3 linked regions of the Mus musculus genome follow. The protein of the gene in region 1 interacts with the protein of each later gene in a pairwise test. Links are inferred from orthologs where the notes say so. Each region holds a gene or a part of one and is shown on either strand. Other genes may lie near its edges. The genes, in order: Bach2, Batf3 and Mafg.

The links.
Region 2: the proteins of Bach2 (region 1) and Batf3 interact in binary tests that used the Homo sapiens proteins (3 or more experiments, as listed by UniProt). The link is inferred for Mus musculus from reciprocal best matches to the Homo sapiens genes BACH2 and BATF3.
Region 3: the proteins of Bach2 (region 1) and Mafg interact in binary tests that used the Homo sapiens proteins (3 or more experiments, as listed by UniProt). The link is inferred for Mus musculus from reciprocal best matches to the Homo sapiens genes BACH2 and MAFG.

The regions. Positions count from the first base shown.
Region 1 is NC_000070.6:32,415,625-32,421,232, forward strand, and holds the start of Bach2 (transcription regulator protein BACH2), read left to right. Parts: upstream 1-1,810; 5' UTR 1,811-1,959; intron 1,960-1,983; exon of another isoform or gene 1,984-5,608. UniProt on the Homo sapiens protein: Transcriptional regulator that acts as a repressor or activator. Binds to Maf recognition elements (MARE). Plays an important role in coordinating transcription activation and repression by MAFK.
Region 2 is NC_000067.6:191,096,347-191,101,987, reverse strand, and holds the start of Batf3 (basic leucine zipper transcriptional factor ATF-like 3), read right to left. Parts: upstream 3,575-5,641; 5' UTR 3,530-3,574; coding exon 3,461-3,529; intron 1,261-3,460; coding exon 1,156-1,260; intron 1-1,155. UniProt on the Homo sapiens protein: AP-1 family transcription factor that controls the differentiation of CD8(+) thymic conventional dendritic cells in the immune system.
Region 3 is NC_000077.6:120,630,166-120,635,969, reverse strand, and holds the start of Mafg (transcription factor MafG), read left to right. Parts: upstream 1-2,422; 5' UTR 2,423-2,608; exon of another isoform or gene 2,609-5,370; coding exon of another isoform or gene 5,371-5,482; intron 5,483-5,804. UniProt on the Homo sapiens protein: Since they lack a putative transactivation domain, the small Mafs behave as transcriptional repressors when they dimerize among themselves.

The sequences.
Region 1 (5,608 bases):
AAGAGATGAATTTTAGTTCACTCTCAAAATAAAATCAAAAGTGCTCACACCCTGTCTCCTCATATCTTAGCTATGTTATTGTGTGTGCTGGACTCAGAAGTTGAGTTTATAGATAAGAATAGAGTTGTTCCGTTCCAGGAACACTGGGAGCAGGAGAGATGGTCCTCCCCAGGGAGGAGCACAAGTCCCAAACAGACATCCCTGAAAGCATACATACAGGTACCATTAGACGGACAGAATGGGTTATATTTAGGGATGTGTATGTATGTGTGTATGTATATACATACACATGTACACATGGAATAGCATTTAGTGAAAAAAGAGACCATGAATTTGAGGATTTTGGAGGGGTATGCGGAAGGCTTTGGAGGAAGGAAAAAGAAGGAAGAAATGTAGTTATAATATCCAAAAATCTTTAAATAATTTTTTAGAGAACAAAAGAAGAACCGTGGTTCTGCATCCAAAGTACCCAGGTTCAGTTCCCAGCACCTACTTGGAGGCTCCCAACTGTCTATAACTCCAGTCTCAGGGGATCTGACACCATCTTTTGGCTTACGCAGGCACTATATACAGGAGGGCTGCATGCACATGGTGCATTGTTATACATTCAAGCAAACACTCATACACATAAAGTAAAAATATATAAAATCTCAAAAAAAAAACCCTAAAGAAAAACTTGTGAGGACATGCTTGAAGCTCACATCACCAACGTGGTCGCTTGTTAGCTTTCTAGAGACCCAAGAAATGGTCAGAAACTCAGGCAGCCTGACACTCAGGTGACCCTCCGTGTGTCGCTTGCAGTGACAATGAAGGAAAACAACTGATAAGTCCTCATTTGAGAAAAACAATTGAAGTGTTTCTATGAAATATTATAATACTACAGGGATTCAAAAGTGTGTTTTCATTAACTGTAGCAACATTGCGACATGTTCTCTCTTATGTAACTCATATTTAATTTCATATTTAATAATTAAATAAAAACCCTCTATGTTTGTGTACCAAAAGAATACTGGTCCACAATCCAATTTTAAATCCAACACCTTTCAGGGTGTGGAGTGTGTGTGCGTGTGCGTGCATGTGCACATGTGTTCATGTGCATGCATGTACATGTGTGTATCCAACCCCAGAAGTTACACTGAATGGGCAGTGAGCTTCAACAACAAAATATCCTTAGTCATTTATTGGTCAAAGTTACCACTGTTCATTATTTTTTTTCCTTTACTCTTTACCTGTTTTTATGTGCTCTACAACAAACATTAACTCATTATCAGAGAAGAGGAAATAAATATGTCTAATCTTATGAATGAAAATTTTATCTGAGGACTTAAGGTTAGGTTAAAGCCAACAAGAAGCTTGTCTGACTTGAAAATAAACACTTTGGAGGCATAGATGTCAGCCAGAATTCACAAGTTAATCTAGAACCTCTTTTAGTTAAGACCACCACTTCGGCCTCCATACTGGGGCGTTTGAATTTGATGAAGAACGCCTTCTGAGATGCAGCCGGAGAGATCGGGGTGACTGGATCATAGCCACATCCAAGCTGTGGGGGTTCAAGTGAACACCTGATAAGGGAAGCTTGTCTGCAGGGAACGCCTGCAGAGGAGGTCTTCTGCCCGAATAGAGCCTAGATATTGGTACCTAGGGGGGATTGTCTTACTCTGGCCTTGTAGTTCGTTGAAGAGAAACACTAGAACCACTGTGGAGTACTGTGTTGTTCTCAAAGTTGAGTAGAGTTTGTGAGGCAGCAGGCAGGAGATTCACGGTGTGCAACACTCATCCACTAACGAACGGGCTTTCCCTTCCGGTCTAGGTGGACACTCACTGATCTATCACAAGATTGCCTCACTGAGTTTGGGGGTCCATGTCTGAATGGATTGCTGTAGCCTTCTCATCTCTTCCTCTGCCCAGTTCCCAGCATCCTAAGACTCGAAGCCAGGACAGGACCTGGGGAAATTATATGTAAGTTTTTACTAAGATTTCTTTTCTTTAACCCAACAAGGCTCAGTGTGAGGCAGTCATGCCAATAATCCAAGCACACAAAAGTTAACTTTCTTTTAAGAAAGTGTCATGAGAAATGTAAATTAAGCAAGAAACAAGGGCTGGAATCCCACTGTTAGTACTTCCTTAGCTCAGTGGTTCTTATTGTCAGCTTGCATCAGAGTCACACTGGCTGTTTTGAGCCAAAAGATCTGGTGTCAGCCAGCAATCTGCTTTACTAACATTTTCCAAGTGATGCTGATGTCAGTGCCCCAAGGCCCTCACTTTGAGAATCACCACTTTAACATAACTGTGTTAGAGGAGTGAATGGCAAAGGCGGGAATCTATATGCTTTAATATTGAATACATTAAGAGGTAGAACCTGTACTTACCTCATTGACACATACCTCAGAAAACAGCTCTAGGGTCTGCACGGCGGCTTCAGCTCAGAAGTCCAGTGGTTACCACGCGCCAGCATTCCTCCTACACTGCTGGCCACTCTTTGCCTTGGACTTTAGGAGGTCAGAGTAACGGTGCAGCTGTTAGCTTGAGGGAGTGGCCACAGTCCCTTGACAAGTGTGCACACCATGTTTGATGTCAAAAGGAGAATCCGTGGCTCCTTTGCAAAGTGAATCTTCATAGTACCATCCCTCCCTGGTACACTGAAATGTAATTTCATTTACAAAAGACACATCAGGGGAGGTACACCTCCAGTAAACAGTCGCTGAGCAAGGCTCGGTTTTTATGGATTTCCAGAGCCTCAGTCCTGCCTTACTTTGAGGTCAGCTCATTACCATGTTAGCTTCCAAAAGTCTAACTACTTAACCTAAGACAGTTTACCCTGCACTGATTCAAACCCATGAAGAGTTTGGCTAAGTAAATCCTCACTTGGATAAGGTGAGCGGACATACAGATGTACATACATGCTTGTGAGCATGCTCTGTTTCCAAGCCAATGTAGACATTTAAAGTATTTTTCTTTCATTTCATTAAATAAATGCGAATATAAAATAGTAATGGTGATACTGTCCTGTCTAGGAAACATCCAAGAAATTGCTGGGCATTTTAAATTTGTGGTAAGGCACTACAGTTTATAACGTTTTTCTTGGATGTGGTGAATGTTGTCATGCAAAGTAGCACTTGGGATTTGCAATTCTTTTATTATCATCATCGTCGTTATTATTTTAATTGAGAATGGCCGCTGTCGATACAGTATTTGCCACCCAGCTATGTTATCCTAGATGAAATAGGCCAGACATACTTAGTGCTGTTGCTCATAGGAGGTACCTGGGGTTGTCAGACTCACACAGTCCATAGGGAGAATAGTGGCTGCCAGCAGGAGGGCAGAGGAGTGGGGTGTATTTTTCAATGGGTACAGTGTGTGAGCTGGAAAGGTTATATTTTGGTAGAAGGTGGTGATGTTGGTTACACAGCAATGTATATGTTCTAAAGTCTCTTATGTTACAGTCTAACATAATTTTTTTAAAGCATAATAGCAGAACTCAGTCTTCCTTTCAAGAATGCTGGTCCTTGGCAGCAAAGTCACAGTTTGAGAGGCTGCGGTGCCATCGTACACCGCACTCTCATTGTGCTACTTTTTGTTTTCAATATTTTTTTTTACTTATTTTACATCCTGATCACAGCCCCCCCTTCTCTTCTCCCAGTCCCACCCATACAAATCCGTCCCCCCATTTCCCCCTTCCCCTTATCCTCAGAGAAGGAGAGCTCCCTTGGGTGCCCTATCCTGGGACATCTATTCCCAGCAGGACAAGGCACATCCCCTCCTACCGAGGCCCAACCAGGCAGTTCAAGTAGAGGGAATGTCCCATGGCAGGGGACACAGACCGAGACAGCCCCCTCTCCACTTGTTAGAGGACCCATATGAAGATCAACTAGGTCCAGTCCCTGATGTTTGGCTATGGGTCTCTGCCTCTGCTTCTATCCGCTGCTGGGTAAAGCCTCTCAGGAGACAGTCATGCTAGGTGGCTGTCTGTAAGCCTAGCAGAGGATCATAGTCTCAGGGGCTGGCATGCCCACATGAGATGGCTCTCAGTCATTGGTTGGCTGTTCCCTCAGTCTCTGCCCCATCTTTATCCCTGCACATCTTATAGGCAAGACAGATTTTGAGTTGAAGGCTTTGTGGGTGACTTGATGTCCCCCTCCCACCTCTGGAAGTCCTGCCTGGCTATAGGAGGTGACCAGTTTAGTCTCTACATCCCCTGCTAGTAGGAATCTCAGCTAGGGTGAACCCATACACTCCCCATATCCTTTCCCACTCCAAGCTTCCAAAGAGTCCCAGAGATGCCCTCCCCCATGATTTCCATTCTCACTCCCAGCCCTCTACTGTCCTCCTCCCTTCCCACACCTGATCTCCATGCCATCTCCATTCTCTCTCTCACCCCATCTCCCACCCAGTTCCCTCTCTCCATCCACATTTGATAACTATTTAGTTTCCCCTTCTGAGTGAGATTGGTGCATCCTCCCTTGGGACCTCCCTATTACTGTGAGTTGTAGCATAGTTATCCTGTACTTTATAGCTAATATCCACTTATACGTGAGTGTATGCCGTAAGTGTTTTGTCATAAGTGGGTCAGGGCTACCTTACTCAAGATGATATTCTCAAGTTTCTTCCATTTGCCTGCACAACTCATGATGTCTTTGCTCTTAATAGCAGAATAGTATTCCATTGTGTGATGTGTAAGTTGTTTCCAGCTTCTGACTACTATGAATAAAGCTGCTAAGGACGTACTTGAACAAGTGTCTTTGTGGAATGGTGGAGCCCCTTTTGGGTATATACGTAGGAGTGGTATACCTAGATCTTATATAGAGCTATTCCCAGTTTTCTGAGAAACTGCCAAATTGATTTCCAAAGCGCTTGTAAAAGTTTGCACTCCCACCAGCAATGGAGGTGTGTTCTCCTTGTTCCACATCCTCACCAGCACATGCTGTGGCTTGGGGTTTTGATCTTGGCCATTCTGACGGGTGTAAGATGGAATCTCAGGGTCATTTCGATTTGCGTTTTCCTAATGACTAAGGAAGCTGAGCATTTCTTTAGGTGCTTCTCAGACATTAAAGATTCCTCTGTTGAAAATTCTCTGTCTAGCTCTGTACCCCATTTTTAATTGGGTTATTTGGTTTGTTGGTTTCTAATTTCTTGAGTTCTTTATGTACTTTGGATATTAACCCTCTGTCAGAATTAGAGTTGGTAAAGATTCTTTTCTAATCTGGTGACTGCCGCTTTGTCCTATTGGTGGTGTTTGTAGCCTTACAGAAGCTTTTCAGTCTCATGAGGTCTCAGCAATTGTTGACTTAGTGCCTGAGCCATTGCTGCTCTGTTCAGGAAGTGTACTCCTCTACTAATATGTTCAAGGCTATTCCCACTTTCTGCATTAGATTCAGCATATCCAGTTTTATATTGAGGTCTTTGATCCACTTGGACTTGAGTTTTGTGCAGGGTAAATATGGGTCTATTTGCAGACAGCCTTCCTCTACATGCAGACAGCCAGCTAGACCAGCACCATTGTTGAAGATACTTTCTTTTTCCCAATGTATGGTTTTGCCTTCTTTGTCAAAAATCAAGTGTCCATAAGTGTGTGGGTTTATTTCTGAGTCTTCAATTCTATTCCACTGAT
Region 2 (5,641 bases), on another chromosome or scaffold:
AGATAGTGAGAGAGCTAAGTGGGAATTCCATGGGCTTTGGAAACCTCAAAGCCAGTGCCAATGCCACACCTCCTCCAAAGCAGCTACACCTTCTCATCCTTCCCAAACAGTTCCACACTGAGCACTCTGTGTATGAGCCCAGAGGGGCCATTCTCTCTCAAACCACCCCCTGAGGAGGAGGCAAGATTTTGAAAAGGAATTAAAAGTATAAAGAGCTATTTTTGTTTAGCTTCTTCAATTTTTAGTTTTGGTAGGGAGAGGGTCTCATGTAGCCCAGGCTGGCCTTAAACTTACTATATAGCCAAAAATGGTTTAAACTCCTGACCCTCACAAGTACCACCTCACCCACATTCTTTTATTTACTTTCTCTTTTTTTAAAGATAGAGTTTCACTATGGAGCCCTCTGGCTGTCCTGGAACTCACTATGTAGACCAGGCTAGCCTTAAACTCAGAGATTTGCCTGCCTCTGCCTCCAGAGTGCTGGGATTAAAGGCAAGTGCCATAATTCTCAGTAATTTCTCTCTCTCTCTCTCTCTCTCTCTCTCTCTTCCTTCCTTCCTTCCTTTTTTTTTTTTTTTTTGAGACGATACCTCATATAGCCAAGGCTAGCCTGAAAGTCACTATAAATACAAACTTGACCTTGAACTTGTGATTCTCTGCCTCTCCCCCGAGTGCTGATCTCGAAGGCGTGTTCCTTCCACCACGGCTGGTTTATGTGGTGCTGAGACTCCCACCCAGGGTATTCTTGTGCACATTAGACAAGCACTCCACTGAGCTGCTCCTCCAGAACTTTAATTACTATTACTGTTGTCACTATTGTTTCTATAGACAGTTTCTCTGTAGTTCCAACTAGCCTCAGGCTGGGTATTCTCCTGCCTCCACCTTCCTGAGTGCTATAGTGTGAGAGCCCCCACATCTAGCTTTTGTTTGAGTCTATAGTGAGAGAAAAATCAAGCGTGGGAAGAAGCCCGGGGGCTGGGGCTGAGAGGAAGAGGCCCGAGAATACAGAAGCAAAGCAATAGGCTGGGAGGACCCAGAAGAATCAGACTGGAAGGACTGATGATGAGCACCGTGATGCCATCACTGCCCCCTCCCCCGATAGGAGACAGCTGTCCCTGTGGCTGTCCTGTAGTCCTGACCTGACCACAGGCTCACCTCGTGGAGCTTGTCAGCCTTCTGGGTCTGCTTCTTCCGGCTCCTCTGAGCTGCAACCCGGTTTTTCTCTCTCCTTCGAACTTTCCTGTCATCGTCCTTGGGGCTCTGGGGATGACATGTGGTGAGGTAAGACTCTCAGACTCTCACCATGCTCCAGTGGGCTACTGAGAGGTTTTGTTAAGGAACACCTATCCTGTGGTGGGGCTTTGCTTTATATTAATCACCACCCACATACTGAAAAGCGTATAGAAAGACTGTTGTTTTAAAATGAGGAATATAAGGTCTGGGGTGCAGCTTAGTGGTGCCATATGTGTGGGATATGTCAGGCCCTGTGTTCCATACCCAGGACCACAAAAAATAAAAATACTATGAGACAACGAGGAATCAGAAACTCAGGTTAGGGAAGTTCTCCAGGTACCACGGCCAGCATGGGGGTGAGTGGGAAGTGGAACTCAGGTTTGCTGGTCCCCAAACCAACGTTCACAAACTTCTGCCCCACAGGGCGTTTGCCTGGAAGAGCGGTGCTGTTACTGCTCATCTGAGAGTGAGAAAGACTGGGGTGTGTGCTCGCTAGAACTTGCTGTGCACAGCCTTTAAACTACCACACACTGGCAAGTCCTTCTGAAACTGTATACAGACCATAGTTATGCATTTATTAGTAACTGCAACCACACAGCTCTACCAGTATGTGGAAAACTCTGGAACACTAATGACGACATGCTCTCTTGAACAACACTTGGCTGACATTTTCTTTTCAGAGGTCAGGGTTATTCCAAATGCAAATCTGTGATGCGTTTTGAGAGTTCTTAACCAAATATCCAAAAATCCTTCATGAGGTGACATGAAGTGGGCAGGCAGAAAAAAATGCACGTACCACAGCGAGAGCTTACTTAGAGGAAAGGGTCTGCTTTCCAGAACTGCAATTGACACCATCAGGGGAGGAAAAAAAATGTCCTTCAAGACTGAGTTCAAAAGGTGTCTAGATGGGGAGGGAGCTTAGTGGTAGGTGAGGCTCAGGGTGTAATCTGGAGCCACAGCAACAGCAAAACCCAGAGGCTGGCGTACAAACTCAGGGCTTCAGCCAGGAATCCCAGGCATAGATAAGAAGAGACAGCAGACCCAACACCTGCTCAGGAGAACACAGGTGTCAAAACGTGCCTTCCAGAAGTCCTCCCCCCACCCCCTTCTTCAACAGTTTCACGTAGTCTCCCTTCCCTTTCCTCCCTAGCTCTGGAATTGTACTCCTGCATCACTACACCCCAAAGGTCTTGATAAACACACCTGGAGCATCCAGGGGGACATGCCATATAAACGATGTAACTTCAGCTTTTACACCCTCACAAAGCCTTCCACCGTATATAATAACTAAGACCCTGCCCTGTACTCAGAACACTGCTGGGCTCTGCTGCCCAGAATCAAGCTGACCTGAGATTTGACCTCACTGGCTCTCCACTGGTGCTTGACAGGAAATAATGTCTCTATTCTCCAAAGCCAACAAGTCTCAGGGCAAGGGGCAGCATGCCTCCTGTCCTCTGGGAGCTGTCACATCACCTGCCACAGATGATCACACCTTCCCTCTGGGCAGGAATGACGAATGGAGACACAAATCACCCATCACTCACATGACCTCTGCAAACGTCCTCAGGAGATACAAAAAGAGTTCATCTTATAGATGGGGAAATTGAGGCTCCGCTAGTCGAAGCAAATAGTATAAGGCCACTCCAACTACTTGGCTCAGACTTCCAGGGTCATCCTGGGACATTACACTTCAAGCAGAGAGTTGGGAGTGTGTGTGGTGACTAAGAAAAATAAGACCTGATCTATTGATAAAGCAACCAGGTGGCCAAGAAGTGTTCCAACAGTGGCCTCTATTTGGTCTCAGCTTCTTGTGACTACAGCTTTGAAAGCTGGGACAACAGAGGGTGCTGATCATATTGGGGCGAGAAGTTTCCACCCGTGCTGGGGGTGGAGTCTGCCCATTAGAGACAAAACCCCACACCCACAAATTGACCGGTCCGACATTCCCCATGCGGATCTTGGCCAGTGGGTTGGATGCAGGGACGAACCGCCCCTTTGGGCTGAATTCATAATATCGGAGCTCCGGGCCCCCTCCCACCAGCGCCCACAGGAGTCAAGGATGAAACTGCCCACAGCAGCGCGGACCCACGTGTTCGGCGCCGAGTCTGGAGGGGCTGCCGCCTTCCCAAGCGCTTGAGGCGCACGGCGGGGGCGCACGGCGGGGGCGCACCTGGAGCTCTGCCCTCACCCTCACCCGGTCCTCACACCCGGCCCCCTTGTCCAATACCTGCGGCTGGTTCCCGGGCGCATCCACGCTTCTCTGCAGCACGCTGACCGCGGGGGGCCCTTGCGACATGCCGCGCGCTCGCCACACGGGGCGCCCTGAACGTGGGGCTCTGCTACCCGCGCTCCGCCCGCATCCCCGCACTTGCTGCCCCGCCCCGCCCCGCCGCTTCCCGCTCTCCGGGCTCCACGGTGCCCGCCTCCCCACCCCGTGTCCAGTCCCGGCCCGGCCCGGCCCCGCCCCCTACTCCCACCCCGCCCCTGCTTCCTCCTCCCCCCACCCTCTCGCCGCACCTCGGGGTCCAGGATCCCACCCAAGTCGCTGCTTTCCGCTAAGGGCCCCCGCTCTTCGTGGAAGTCACGTGGCAGCACCGAAGCCCACCCACGGAGAAGACCCCGAGTGGGTGGAGACGGGGTGCTGGCGCAGCGCCGCCGTGGACGGTCCTCCGGCCGCTCCTGGGAAGTTTGGGTGAGAAGCACCAGTGAGTGGCTCGGTGGCTTCAATGTCCCTTCGCAGCCTCCCTTAGCGCCCCAGCGCCGGTCACCGCCGATGGGGAGATTTCTTCCGGGCGAGGCGGCACCTGGACCGGTGGCGCCAGTGGGCAGGGACCGCAGCAGAGACCGTCCGCGCTATGGGGACAGCGGGAGCCTCAGGGCTTTTCCACTGCGGCGGCGTCTGGTCCAGTGGGAGGGAGGGGGCGAGGTGACTGGGAGGGCGAATTCTGATGGGGGGGGGCGGGGCGGGGGGAGCGGCAAAGAGAGGTTGTGAGTCGAAACCACGCTTGAAGTCCATCCTCACACATTCAAAGGTCTGGGCAGGCCATGCTAAGGTCCCATGGGCTAGCTGCATTTGCTTCTTCAAGATTAAGGTGATACCTACTAAAGGCTAAAATATATGGTTGCTATGTTTATGTCAGACTAGGTAGAGACGTATCTCATCCCTCTTCACCCGCCTGCCAGTTTTTAAAATATGAAGTCAAGATGACTGTGCCCAGCAAAGAAAAAAAGAAAAAACCCTAGCGGTTGCAGGTTTGTGGTTTGTGCATAGCATAGGAGAGGAAAGCTAACCACGAACTGGGGGACGGATGGGAACCAGACAAGAGTGGCCTTTCTCGTGTGCTCATTTTGGCCTACTGGCTTCTGGGCAGTGGGAGAGGTGACCTTTCTGAGTCCTCACCCCAGTGTGCATGGCTCTGTGCCAGAATTTAAGCCGTAAGTCTGGAGAGAGGAGCTTGTTTGAACCTGCCTGCGCGGCTTTAGGCACCAGTAGTGGTCATGTGTGCTAGTAGGTCACGGCATAGCCAGTGTCCACACATCACAGCAGAGCCTCTCCATGCTAATGGTTCCGCCCAAATTTTAGTTCTGACCCTCTTCTATCAACATGCATGCATGCTCCGGTGTGGGGGGAGGGGAGAAGGAGGGGAGAGAAGAGAGAGAGAGACAATTACATCTCACACAGTATAGAGGAGTGCACAGCACAGCATCCTGCACTTGGTGTGGGTCAGCCCAGGACCTCTGTCCTTGAAAATTAAAGGACCCTGTAAACGGGGTGTGGTGGCCAACGCCTACAATTTCTCCACTCACAAGGTTGAGGCAGGGTTTCCACAAGTTCCACTATCTAGCTTGGGCTATACATTAACCTCCAGGCTAACTAGAGCTAAATAGCAGGATGAGATCTCAATACAACCAAAGACTAACAAAATAAGCAATTTGTGGGGGCAAGTGATCCTAACTTTTAGACGTTTAAGAATGGGTGTTGGAGGGGGTGATCCTCGACATACCAGTGCACTCCCGTGTGTCATTCTAGTGGGCTCCTTTCCTGTTCCAAGTCCTCTGGGGTCCTCCCCACAGCCTGGGGCCAGGGCCAACAGCAGACTTATATTGGCTTAGTCTACTTATGGCATTGTTTCTTTTTTCTTTTCCTTTCTTTCTACCGCCCCCCCCCATATCCCCCTTCCCTACACACTCATACACACCTTGAGTTTTTCAAGGCAGGGCTTCTCTGTGTTCAGCCCTGGATGTCACGGAACTCACTTTTAGACCAGGCTGGTCCCGAACTCTCAGAGATCCACTTCCTGAGCACTGGGACTAAAGGCGTGTGTCACCATGCCCAGCATGGAACTATTTCTTTCCCTTCCTATTAAGTCTGTACACCATATGGGTGTCGGGTTCCAGAAGAGGGTAA
Region 3 (5,804 bases), on another chromosome or scaffold:
GGTGAGGGGGGCTGAGGGCTTGCCAATCACGATGCATGCCTGAAGTCCCAGTTAACTTTTTCCCCCCCCTTCTCTTTGTTTTCTTGAGATAGGGTTTCTCTGTGTAGCCCTTGCTGTTCTGGAACTGTATTTGTTTGTTTGTTTGGTTGGTTTTTCGAGACAGGGTTTCTCTGTATAGCCCTGGCTGTCCTGGAACTTACTCTGTAGACCAGGCTGGCCTTGAACTTCCAAGTGCTGGGATTAAAGGTGTGCGCCATCACCACCTGGCTAGAACTGTTTTTGTTTTTTTGTTTATTTTAAGATCTATTTACTATTATAAGTACACTGTAGCTGTCTTCAGACACACCAGAAGAGGGCATCAGATCTCATTACAGATGGTTGTGAGCCACCATGTGGTTGCTGGGATTTGAACTCAGGACCTTCGGAAGAGCAGTCAGTGCTCTTAACCACTGAGCCAGCCCCTAGAACTGGTTTTTATAGACCATGTTGGCCTTGAACTCAGAGACCTACCTGCCTCTGCCTCCTGAGGACTGGGGTTAAAGGCCTGTGCTAACATGTCCAGCAACTCCCAGCTACTCTTGGCTGCAAGGCTTTGCAGCTAATCTGAGCAACAGAAAAAAAGGAAAGAGAGAAAGAAAGAGAGAAAGAAAGAAAGAAAGAAAGAAAGAAAGAAAGAACAAAGCGGATGTGGGAGCTCATGGCTGTGGTCCCAGCATTTGGGAGGCTGAAGCAGGAGGGTTGCTGCTGACCAACAGAGCCTATAGACTAAGACCCTATCTCATAACTAGAACAAGAACAAAGGGAGGGAGGATGAAGATAAGTAACAGAAACCCAGAGGTCTTGTCTCAGGGGTTTTATTGCCATGAAGAGACTCCATTCGGCAGCTCTTCTAAAGGAAAACATCTCATTGGGTCTGGCTTACGCTTTCAGAGGTTTAATCCATTATTGTCATGGAGAGTAGCAAGACTGAATCAGGGCCGACTTGCTGCTGGAGGATGGGCTTAGTTAGAGTTCTGCATTCTGAAGGCTGCAAGAAACTGTAAGTCACACACGGGCATAGCTTGAGTATATAAGACCTCAAAGCCTGTCCCCACAGAGACAATCGTCTTCCAACAAGACCACACCTCCTAATAGTGCCATTCCCTATGGGCCAAGCATTTAGACACGGCATTTAGAATTCATGCAGGCCATTTCTATTCAAACCACCACAAGGCATAAGGAGTAATTCTCTGTATTCTGAGACTCTGGCTACAGCCAGTGAAAGATAAAAGCTCCCCCCCCCCCACTCCCCAAAGAAATACAATGTAAAGAATTACTTTTTGAGGCTGGGTGTGGTGGCACATGTTTTTAATCCCAGCACTAGAGAGGCAGAGGCAGTCGGATCTCTGAGAGTTTGGGGCCAGCCTGGTCTAAACCTTGTCTCAAGAAACCAAATTTGACACAAAGGACACACACAGGCCCCCTCCAGCCTGCTTACCCCCTTTTCCTTGTCACCTATGTTACAGAACGAGTCACCTTTTCACGATTCCCAGAGAAGACAGGGTCAAATAGAACGTTCAGAACCTCGAAATGAAAACTTGATCCCTCCTACTTTCCTTCTTTTTTACTTTTTCAACAGCAGCGAGAAGTCTCACAGAAAAAGTAGCAGCAGAATGCACCCAAAGTAGTTTCAAATGCGGCAGAGAAGGGTTGGGCAAAGTGCACAACTCCTACAGTGCACGCACACTACCCGAAGAGATGGTCCACGGCCGCAGGTGAAGCCCCTAGCACCCTCCGGAGATTAGAATCATTAGTGAGCGTCCTCCAAGCCTTCGTGTCATCGTGGATAGTTTGGGGATCTGAGCTGGGGTTGGGGCTGTGCCCCTCAACAGCCGTGTCCTTTTCAGACTGCTGACCCATTTAGAATGAGGACGTCGCAGCAGAACGGGGTAAGGAACTAAATCACTGTGTCACACCTTCAAAACAGCAAATAGGTTCCCGCGTGGTGACGCTCATCTGTGAGTTCCGCTTTCAGGGGGCCGAGGCAGGAGCATCTCAGGGAATTGAAATCCAGTCTGCTCGCTGTACAGTGAAACTATGCATCCAAGTGAAGAAAATCAAACAAACCTCCCATAGACCTCGGTCTGAGTTGGTGTGGAGATCGGGAGGGAGCTAGAGGCATCCGAGTTGGGGCCACTCCGTAGAACCTGTCTCTGCAGGAGCACGGTCAACCCGGCGAGCGCCGGGACGACTCCCGCGAGACATTGCCAGGGCGCGGCGGGCGTTGCCAAGGGCAACGGCGCGGGGCTGCGCAGGCGTGATGGGGGCGCGCTCGCCTTGCTGCCGCCTCGCCTTTCCCTTTAAGCTTAGGCCAGCCGCGTCGCCGCTTCATGAATGGAACCCACGTGACCAAACATCATGTGACGTCTGAGGAGCGGCGGCGGCGGCGGATTCTGAGCCCGGTCCGGCCCGGCCTTCCCAGCGCGCTTGGCCCGGCCCGCGCAGGCGGCCAGTCCTCCTAAGCCCCCGGCCCGGACCCTTCGCGCCCGCCCCAGCCCCGCGCAGCCCCGGAGCGCGCGCGCGCGGCCCCGCCCCAGCCCCGCCTTGGCCCGCCCGGGCCCGCAGTGTGGTGAGTGCGCGGGGCTGGGGCGGGCGGCGGGGCCTGGCCTCGGGGTTGCGGCGCACCCGACGGCAGCGCGTGCCTTGGTTTCCCCGCCAGCCGGCTGTTCGCCTGTGTCCCCCTAGAGCCGGCGGACCGGGCGACCGCGAGGCTGGGGACGGGCGTGCGCGCGGCGGCGGACCCCGGGTGCCCTGCGGGGGGCGCGATTTAAGGGCGAGCTGCGCGCGTCTGCCCGGGTCAGCGGGGTGGCCGCACCGAGCTGCTGACTCATCAGGTGTCCGTCGGCTTCCGCGCGGGCGGGGTCGCGCGCGGGCCCACAGGGGAGGCGGCGGGGAGACCCTGCTGCGCGGCTTGGGCTCGCCACGCGGGTGCGAGCCCAGCGGAGACGTGCTGAGTCATCAGCATGAGGTCACTCGGTGCTCCTGCTGACGCTGGGCCAGGGCGGGGGGCCGGGGCCCGCTATCGGCCGGTCTAGTCGGGAGACAGGGCTCGATCCGGGTGGTGAAGGTCGGGCCGGGATCCGGGGTCGTGTTTAAGTTTGACAGACCTGTGAGTTGGAGGCAAAGGCTCCGAAGGAGGCATTGCAGGGGCGCGCCGCAGGTTTCTCCCGGGGTGGAAGGTAAAGCCCCGGGCGTGCGCATCCTTGCCTGGTTCTTGGGCTCCTGGCCCGGGTCCCACAACTGGGGCAGTTCCCCAAACCCGGAGACCGATCGGTGTACGCTGAGGGGAGGAGCTTAGGTGGGCCGAGCCAGCTCGTCTGGGAAGCAAGCTTTCCTTCTCTGTGACCCTGAATGGCCAGGCTTCGTCGGTCCTAGATGGGGAAGACCGGGAGGCAGGGGGAGAAGGGTCTGTGGCTTGAAAGAAGCTGGGGCAGCTCTAACCAGCTAAGGAGAGCAGAGTGTGGATCTAGGCAGCTGGTGAGAGTTTTTGAGGTGCAACCATGGAGTAGAAGATGTAGTTTTATTTATCCCAATGTTATTCCTTTCAGAAGAGTTTGGGGTCCCACTGTTGCCTGGAGTTACCAAAAAGTGTGTGTGCCCTGTTGGGTGTCTGGAGACTCTTGGGAGGTGACAGTTTTGTGGGGTGTGGCTGAATGGCTGTTTACTGACTTATCTGTCGTGAAGGTTCTTGAACTCCATCCTACTGCTTTCCTTGCCCAGGGATTCATGTCTAGACTGTGCTTACCTTGTGGTTTGTGCTAAGGGATGTCCCCTTAACCCTGAGCCCTGAGGCTGCTCATAGGTGCAGTGTTTTTTTCATTTGGTGTGGAACTTGCCCTATGAAACTTCAAGGTTCCAGAAAATTGTTAAACTCCGGAGGCACTGTGCTTCAGTGAACTTAATGTTTTCCGTTCTCTTCAAACAATGTCAGTACCTGAAGGAGAGAAGACCTACGTAGGGGGTCTCCTGCATTGAGGTTTACAGGCAAGGTTTAGCAAGGAAGGGTCACTATCTTGCTTGAGACTAATGTCCAGATTGTCTAGTGTGAGAGGACAGAGGTGCCCAAACCCCTTCTTTAAGGGTCAGCCTGAATGAGTGGTCCAGAGCCCCTTGGTGTCTTGAGTCTGTCCATAACTGTGAGTACTTGGAGGGCTGAGTTGGAGGCAGCAGGTCCAGATCAGCTTCTCTGAGCTTCTTCCTCAGGCTCTGGAAAGCTCTCTAAACTGTATCCCTCAGCACAGCTGTCCCCCCCAGAACTGTCTGCCTAGTCACTGTGTCCCTAGGTTTGCAGAAGCCAGGCAGGTAGCTGGAAGAATTGGCTTTCCTGAGACCTGCCCTTCCCCCTTAAGCACACATGCGTATAAACATGTACACACACTCGCTCTAACACACACACATTCTCTCTCTCTCTCTCTCTCTCTCTCTCTCTCTCTCTCTCTCTCTCTCTCTCTCTCTCTCTCTCTCTCTCTCTCTCGTGCACCTTTGATCAGGAGGCAGTTGGCTGCACTTGTGCTGAGTTCAGGCCTTTGGTGGAGGTAAAATCTGTTGAGAAGGCACTTTTCAGCTCCCAGCCGCCACACTCTGCACTTTCCTGTGCGATCTCAGGAAGTCACCGTTTTGAGCTCAGCAGTCTGTATAAGGGAAGCTCCTGCCAGGACTGTCCCCTCACCTCGACTTATGCTCCTAGTGTGAGTATAGGGCCAACTTGTAAGAAAGACAGATGCCCTTCAGACCTCTAGATCTGAGTTCTGCCTTTCTCTTTGATCTAGCAGTACTGTTGCCTCTGAAAATGCTCCTAATCTAGTCCTGTAGATTTAGTCCTGGTTTGCTTGCTCAGTGTTTGCATGTAGCCACACCTCCTGTTCAAAGCTAAAAGCAGTAGGGTAAAGCTAATGAGAATGTGTTAGTTCCTTTGATAAGATGAACCAACTCCCCATCCAGCACATTTTTGCCTGAAGTGCTCACAGACCTGCAGCAACCTCACTTCCCTCATTTCCCTGCACCTAACCTGGAAAGGAGAGGATGTGCCTGTGGGACTGGTGGGTGTTGGGCTAAGTGGGGATTCCCAGCCTAGGTACACAAGAATGTCCTTGGCAAGGCTTTAGAAAGCTGAAAATGAGGTTGAGCCCGGAGGGGCGGCTGACTGTAGGAGGGACCTGTTTTGCTTTTGTTCCCTGGCCCTGTGGTCACTGACCCTAGGCAGAGAGCCAAAGACCAGTCAGTGACCTGAAGGGGCTGGCTCTTGCCTGCTTCCAGCTAACAGTGCTCTTCCTCTGCTAATTGTGGGAGCCCTTGTGAAACACCCTGTGTCGGGTGGGGCAAGAGTACAGGATGCTGCAACCAAGCCACAGGATGGTTACCCCATCTGTAAAGGAGATGGACGGGGAGGACTGGAGGGGCCTGGGCTCAGCTCCTCCCAGCCGGATTGCCTGCTACCTGGAAGGTGAGAGGATTCCCAGTCAGCCAGTTAGAACAAACCTTATCCTCTGCCAGACTGAGGCAGGAAGCAACCTCCTACCTAAGTCCTAGAGGGAGAAAGGGCTTTCTTTTGTCCTGGGCCAGCTTAGGGAACATATATGGGAAGTAGGACCTTGGAATACAGGGTCCCTGGCTGATCCTTGCTTGCTGTTGGTCCCAGTAGTGGGTCTCCTGGGGAACTGCTGGCTGGCCAAAGGACCGGGAGAACGGCTCAGGAAGGGAGGGAGGCGATCCGCTGAGTCAGCATGACTCGCCAGGAACAGGGCGCTCTGGGGCAGCACTGGGGT